Linked DNA regions of Mus musculus. The protein of the gene in region 1 interacts with the protein of each later gene in a biochemical or structural test. Links are inferred from orthologs where the notes say so. Each region holds a gene or a part of one and is shown in the gene's direction. Other genes may lie near its edges.

Region 1 (3,966 bases):
CCCCAGGGAAGTCACCTGAGTCTCCTGTCTTCTGTCTAGGCTTCACCGCTGATCTGCGATCCAACACCGGCGGCCAGGCCTTCCCCCAGTGCGTGTTTGACCACTGGCAGATCCTGCCTGGGGATCCTTTTGACAACAGCAGCCGCCCCAGCCAAGTGGTAGCTGAGACGCGCAAGCGCAAGGGCCTGAAAGAGGGCATCCCAGCGCTGGACAACTTCCTGGACAAACTGTAGGCAGCCTGATACTGCCACATGCTGCACAGTGCCCACCCATCAGAAGACACCTTGAGACTGTCCCACAGTGCTCCTCTAGAGGCTGCTGGGGCCACCCTGACATCACTCAGCACTCACTTGCTACCAATTCTATTTATTTCGGAATTACAAGATAGCGGGAATCTCTCTGCAGGCTGGACTGGCAGGCTGTGGGGTGGGCGGGACACGGCTCTTAACATTTTCAGAGGGAAACGCGCAGATGTCCAAAAGTCTAAATAAATGCATTCAGAGGTTTTTGGGGTCCATGGCCAAGTGGAGTTCCCCCAGAGGGGGAGGTGGGGTAAGTGCCTCCAGGAAGGCAGGCAGCCTGCCTTAGACTTGCAGCCCGGCTGTGGGAATGAATCATTGGAGTAATAAACTACAGTGGTTGATCCACATGTGCTCGCAACTCTGTTTTGTACAGCGCACGCTTTCCTGGTTTTCAGGGTATCTGGCTACCCTTAGGTGGCCTGCGGTGATTCACACATAACACACACACTGCACCCCGTGCGACAGAATGGGTTTTATTGTGAGTTCACAGTACTGCCTCAGTCCATTCCACAAACTTGAATCACTCCATAGACCTGCACATCAGGGGTTTGGTCTGCGCATACCCGGCTCCAGGTTATTGGCTTTCAGCCTCTCGCGTTAGCCAATCATCAGCCAGGAGCCCAATAATGATGTGCTCCACAAGGGCGGTGTCGAGCCTTCCTGTGAATCTGTCAGGCTGGCCAATGAGCACTGGACTCTCGCCTAGCCTTGGGTGATGACGTCACTAGTCAACGTCCGCTTCCGCTGAGAGGTCAGATGCTAACCAATGAGCGTGTGCATTCAATTTCCGGTTAAAGTCGTAGTCCAATGAGCGCTGGTTTTCGGGTTTTGCGGAGGTGTGCCCCTGCGCTGTCAGCGCATGCGTAGATGCCGTCTCAGGATTTGTACCGGAGGTTCTCGCGGGGGCCTCGCTGGCACCGGGCGGGGACTCGATGGCTGAGGACGGTACGAATGGGCCGGGTCCGGGACGTTGTGTTGGGACCCAAGGGACACGCGACGAGGGCGGGAGCGAGGGGAGGGAACCCGCGAGGGGCATGGCTTTCTCCAATCTCGAGGGGTGGACCTCTAGGAATAGCAACACTGCTGCGCATGTGTCAGGTTTCCGGCGACACCCCTGAGTTCCGGGGTGCTGGTGGGCATGATTGACAGGTGAGGAAGCTAGGTAGGAATTTCAAGAGCCGGACGCTATGGAAGTGTTTCGAGTAGAGAACCCCACGCTGACTTGGAACTCTGTTTAATCCTCCAGCCTCAGCCTCTTGAGTGCTAGGGTAAAGGGCACCTGACACTGTATTGTGTTTTATAGTTTTGTACATATATATATATATATATATATATATATATATATATATACTGCTTGAGAGATGTTGTTCCGCTTCTTTTAGTTATATCTATGCTTGTTTCTGAGAGGGGTGTCACAGTGCCCGCAGGTACCTGAGGTTCCTGAAGAGAGCGTTAGAGGTCATCAGGCCTGGGAGTTAGAGATACTAGTGAGCACTGGAAACTGAACTTGGAGACTGTGCAAGTACAGCACCCACTCTTACCGTCTCAGCCATCTCTCCAGTCACTTGAGCTGGTCTCATGGAACTCAGGCTGGCTTGTAACTCACCAAGTATTTGAGTATGCTCTTGAACTCGTAGCCGTGCAGCCCTCCGCTCCCCAGTGTGGGGTGTCAGGTTTGCTCTACCATGACCAAATTGTGGGTAGAGGCTGTAGATGACCAAAGAAAATCTGGGGCAGGGGCATTGTGTGTCACATATGCTGGGGAAGCCTCTTGGGAGAAGTCGGATCCGTGATAAACATTTCCTGTTTCCTCTGTCCCTCCAGCTCCTGTGTCCCCAGAATCCTTCAGAAGGCCAGCCGCCATGTCCACATTCAGGCAAGAGGATGTTGAGGACCATTATGAGATGGGAGAGGAGCTTGGCAGGTGAGTGGCGTGGGAGGTGGGTGCCCTTCCTCTCCTCAGTGTCTTGAAGCAGTGGCCACAGAGTTTTCTGGTGGTACCACGCCAGACTTCAGGTTCCCAGATGACAGGGAACCTGAGTTCCTTTTCTCTCGTGTCCTCTGTGGAGAGAGACACAGAGACCTGTAGCTGCTGCCCCTGAGCCGGGGACAGTGCCTCGGAGCATTGTCTGCTATGGGATTGTTCTCAGCTCGGTTTCTTCTTTTCCCCCATGAGACAGAGTCTTACTATGTACTCCTGGCTGGTCTGGAACTTGCTCATCACAGAGATCCTCCTGCCTCTGCTTCCCAAGTGCTGGAGCTAAAGGATTGCACCACCACCCTGGCCTTGGCTGATTTTGATTTTGGTTTTTTAAAGGCAGGCTCTCATGTCCCCCAGATTGGCCTTGAACTTCTTTTATGTAATTACTATATTTTGTGTGCATATGTGTCTTAGTCACAGCACAGCTTCCTGGAGTCTGTGCTCTCCTCTCCCATGCGAGCCAGTTCCAGGGACTGAGCTCAGGGAGTCCTTGGCAGCCCTGGGTGATGTCCCACCACACTGCACAGGCTGTTTTACGACTTGCTGGGTCTGCCTTTCTTGAGTTCTGTACATGGATGCTTTTATACTGGTGTCTCCCCAGTGCCGGGATGGTTCAGGACACCGTTTTCTGTTTGGTGTTTCTTGAGAAAGCCAGATTCTCTTTCTAGGCTAGCTCTCATGCCTGTCCGTGCTTTGGAGCCCCCTCCCTCTTCCCCCTCCCACCTCCTCATGCCAGGCCCTTCCTCTTTCTAAGGGGCTTCAGACCTTATTTGGTGAGTTCTGGGCCAGCCTTCTGGGGGCATCAAGGCCCGCCCTATGATGTCATCCCCATGGAATGTAAATAACCTTCCCAGTACTAGGCAGGCTGAGGAGGAGTTTTCCTGCCTAGGGACCCTGAACCACTTCCTTCTGGAGTTCCCCACCCCAGCCCCCACCCCTGAGAACCTCCCGGCTGCCATCCCAGTAGGGCTTCAGCGATGTTCCTGTCATGTGCTGGTCACATCTATGAGCCTACTGCTAGGGAAGTAGGGACATCTCGTGCCAGGGATGTGAGACTCAGACTGAAACATAAGATGGGACACTGGAGAGGCGGCTCAGTGATTACAGCACCAGCTGCTCTTGCAGAAGTCCTAGGTTCGATTCCCAGCAACCACATGGAGGCTCACAACCACCTGTGACTCCAGCTCCAGGAGTCTGACACTCCCACTGGTCTCTGTGAGCAAAACTTGTAAAAACACAGAAAGAAACACAGAGGCCTTCTCACATACCACACACCAACTCACCCTGACAGGTAAGTATGGACAATTTAGCCCTTACGTAGTCAACACTCTGAGGGTGGGTCCAGGATCCTGAGCTCCTCACAGGCATTGATGCTCATCTAGCAAATGAGGATGTATTTGTGCATAACCCATGCATGGCACCCTGTGTAATTTACATAAAGTGTTTATGGTGTTGGGGTAGGTGGACCCAGGCCCCAGGCCTGCCACTCTGTACACTTGCTGCCTGGATCTCTGTTTTTATTTTTTTAATTTCTATTTTGACTTATTATGAATACAGTGTTCTGCTGCATGGATGCTTGCGTGCCAGAAGAGGGCTCCAGCTCTCAATACAGATGGCTGTGAACCAACAAGGGCAGTCAGTGCTTGTAACCACTCAGCCACCTCTCCCGCCTCTGCCTCCCAA
Region 2 (3,517 bases), about 27 Mb from region 1:
TGAGAAAGTGCTGGCTAAAGAGTTACCAGAATGGAAGGACTTGCCTACGTGCCGACTTTCAGTTGGAAGTATGCAACTTTACACAGCTCTCTACTTTTTTCCCATTCAAATTACATTTTTGATTTTTTTTTTATGTTTTTGGAATTTAAATGAGACATTGAACTCTGAAAATAAAAGGCTATTTCATTTTCATTTACTTATTTGTTTGTTTGAAAGCAGGGTTTCTCTGTATAGCCTTGGCTGTCCTGAAACTCACTCTGCAGACCAGGCTGGCTTCAAACTCAGATATCTGCCTACTTTTGCCTCCCTAGTGCTGGGTTTAAAGGTGTGTGCCACCATAGCCTGACTATTTAAAAAAAGAAAAAATTTAAAAAGAAAAACTAAAGAGAAGTAAATTTCACCACAGAGGTCTGGGAGATCGTTCTGTCCCAGTCCCCAGTGTGTCTGGCCTTGGCGGAAGAGTTGATAATCATTTCCCTCTGTTGACCTTGGTGGTGTTCCCTGTTGAAAGCACAACATGAGTGTGTGGTTGCTGTGAGCATCTTCAGGACCCAGAACAGTGCCTGACTCTAACAGCCACTTGGGAGTTAGCGGAAAGAATTAATGTGCTTTTACACGTTTCTCCCCATTGGGTTAGACTGGGGATTCAGTTCTACGGCAGAAAACAAATTCCCCGTGTCCTCAGGGAGTGTTAGTTGTTCAGACTGAAGAGAAAAGAGCCTTGACATTTTTCTTTTAGGGTGCCCACAATGTTTATATACTATTCACTTTTATTTCCACAGCACAACCAGTGCCCCAGAAGATGAAATCTCAAATAGATATCCCCGAACAGACAGAAGTGGTTTCAGTAGACACAACAGAGATGCAAATGCGCCGGCTAGTTTCTCCTCAAGTAGCACCTTGGAAAAGAGAATTGAAGATCTTGAAAAGGTATGAATTATGAATTACTCTAAATAAAATTAACATACTTTAGCATTCTTCTCCCAGTTCCATGGCTTCATGCCCAGAAAGGGAGGTGGGACACCCAGGCAGGAGACATCCGGTTCTACTCCAGGAGCAGCTTGGACTCCTTATCTTGTGCGTTCGCACCTAGACCCTGGTGTTTGGCTTCCCCCCACTTCCTTAAGTGCTTTTCTGTCCACTTGAATGCCTTGATTCAGTAGCCATTCCTGTTCTGTCATATCTTACTCGTATTCTGAGGAGCACTGAGGGTTTTTGAGTGCTTAAATGCTTGCATTGTCAGCCTGTACCCCGCACTACATCGGCTGAACATACTGTTGGTTCAGACCTTACAGCTATTCTGAGTTAGGCCCATGTTTGGTGCTTGAACCATTTTCAAGTAGAAACAGGATACACTTGCTTACAGATGTTTCGACAGCAACTCACCTGAACATTGCAGTAAAATTACAGAGCTGAGGTGTGTCCCGTGGACACGCACCTGAAACTGGTTTGGAATAAGTTCTCTTTTAATGATTGGAAGTTATTCCCTGTGACACAAAGATTATTGTGAGATTTATCTGTTTTGACTTGCTGCTTACGCAGCGGTGATATTTAGGTTACATTTAAGCTTTAACCCCTATTTCTGATCAGAATCATTATTTAAACTTAAAGGGTTAGAGAATACACTTTACTAGTTTTCAAAAGGTTCCTCTGAAAAACTCATGACACTCCAGAAATGCTGACAGGCAGCTTTTGATGGCTTTGGGTAGCCTGCTGCTTTCTCTGAGGGCTAGAAAAGAAGCGAGTCCTGCCAGAGACCTTTCCAGCCCTCCCAGGAGGCCTGGAGGCTTTGTCTGTTCTAGGTTTATTGAGACAGTACTGCGTCTCATACAGTCCAGTTAACCAAAGATGATCTTGGATCTATCTGACCTGCCAGCCTCCACCTCCCAAGAGCTAGGATCATAGGTGTGTAAAACAATGAGCTAGAAGCCCTGAATTCAAAGACTTCTAAATAACGATTTTTTTAAAAAATTAAAAAGCATTTATTAGCTTACAAACCATCATATTTCATTATGGAATTTTGCAATCAAAATTTGGTTTAGTTTGGTTTGTTTGTTTGTTTTCTTTTCTCACTTTTCATCCCCATTCGCCTTTCCTCCCTTGGACCCTCCTGTCCCCAGTAGTTTGTCTGCTTTCTTATCACATGACATCGTCCCCCACTTTTATAATGTCTCCTGCTCTCCAGTGGTCTGATACATAGTTTCATAACCTAGGCCAAATCTCAACCCGTTTCCATCCATTTAAAGTTGGGGTCTGTGAATGAGAGAGAATATATGACTTCTGTCTTTATGAGACTACATTCCCTCAGACAGGACAGTATTTTCCAGGTCTGTCTGTCTGTCCTTTGAGTAAGCTACTTTGCAGGGCCTTATTGTTGTTTTTTGGGTTTTTTTGTTTGTTTGTTTGTTTTTTTTCTTTTGTAGATTTTTCGTGGTTCATGGTTTTAGAATTACAGCTGGTATCAGCCAGCCCCGTGGTTTCTTGTCCTTGATGAAGCCAGGGCGTGAGGGAAGACATGCTTCCCTCCTGGCTGTTAGGGAGCAAAGAGATGCAAACCTGAGTTTCTGAACTTCCTTCTCTTTTTGTTCCATATAAATACGCCCAGGGGTGTGCTTTCTTAATCTCCTAGGTGGATCACTTTATTAGACTATATTAATTATATGTACTAGCAGGCCTCAGGACACTTCATGTGTGTGTATACTGTGTTGTGCTCATGTACCTTGTCATCTTCCCCAACTAGCCCCACTTCTGGGGTGTCTGAGTGAGTCTCACTGGGGTTGTTCACAGGCTCACGGGCGTCTTATCCATGACTACAGCAGCAGAGGAGATGCCTCTTCACCCGCTCCACCGTTGACTGAATTGTCATGTCGACAGGACCTTGTTATGGGGCTTCTGTTAGCTTTGAACTCATAAGTTCAGGGGATCCTCTTACCTCAGACTCCCAACTTTGGCACTAAGTATGGTCCACTACGTAGCATCTCTTTTAAAGGAAAACCACAATAGCAGAAAGTCCCATTTTTTTCCTTTTCAATTCACAGAAAGCTTGCAATTTTGCTATTTAAAAAACTGTGCTCTTCTCTTCTTTCTTTACAAAGTTGGTCTGTCGGTCTGTCTGTCTGTCTGTCTTTGTGTCATCATCACCGTCATATCTTCAGTGTCAGGTATGGCTGGAAGGGGCTTTGCTAATGTCTGGAGTCGTGCTCTGTTACTGACAGGTGTTTGCCATTTTAGAAAACTGCAATCAGCCAGTTCCCTTGTTAATGCTTTGCGATTTATTCCCTAGGAAGTTGTAAGAGAAAGGCAAGAAAACCTTCGACTTGTGAGGCTGATGCAAGATAAAGAAGAAATGATTGGGAAACTCAAGGAAGAGATCGATTTGTTAAATAGAGTAAGTGGTTCTGGATTCCAGTTCCTGGGTTTCTCTTTTTGGTCATTGGATGAAAGCATGCAAGGGTGAAGAACTTGTTCATCGCCTGTTTGGTTAATAAGATGGTCATTTATGGTGAGCTCTATCGTG

Evidence for each region.
Region 2: of the proteins of Dapk3 (region 1) and Pawr, one has a biochemical effect on the other in vitro, tested with the Homo sapiens proteins (2 studies listed by BioGRID). The link is inferred for Mus musculus from reciprocal best matches to the Homo sapiens genes DAPK3 and PAWR.

What each region holds. Positions count from the first base shown.
Region 1 is NC_000076.6:81,181,850-81,185,815, forward strand, and holds the start of Dapk3 (death-associated protein kinase 3), read left to right. Parts: upstream 1-1,157; 5' UTR 1,158-1,234; coding exon 1,235-1,247; exon of another isoform or gene 1,248-1,570; intron 1,571-2,068; exon of another isoform or gene 2,069-2,126; coding exon 2,127-2,226; intron 2,227-3,966. Other genes in the region: Eef2 (elongation factor 2), read left to right, coding at 40-233. UniProt on the Homo sapiens protein: Serine/threonine kinase which is involved in the regulation of apoptosis, autophagy, transcription, translation and actin cytoskeleton reorganization. Involved in the regulation of smooth muscle contraction.
Region 2 is NC_000076.6:108,408,681-108,412,197, forward strand, and holds part of Pawr (PRKC apoptosis WT1 regulator protein), read left to right. Parts: intron 1-782; coding exon 783-930; intron 931-3,283; coding exon 3,284-3,388; intron 3,389-3,517. UniProt on the Homo sapiens protein: Pro-apoptotic protein capable of selectively inducing apoptosis in cancer cells, sensitizing the cells to diverse apoptotic stimuli and causing regression of tumors in animal models.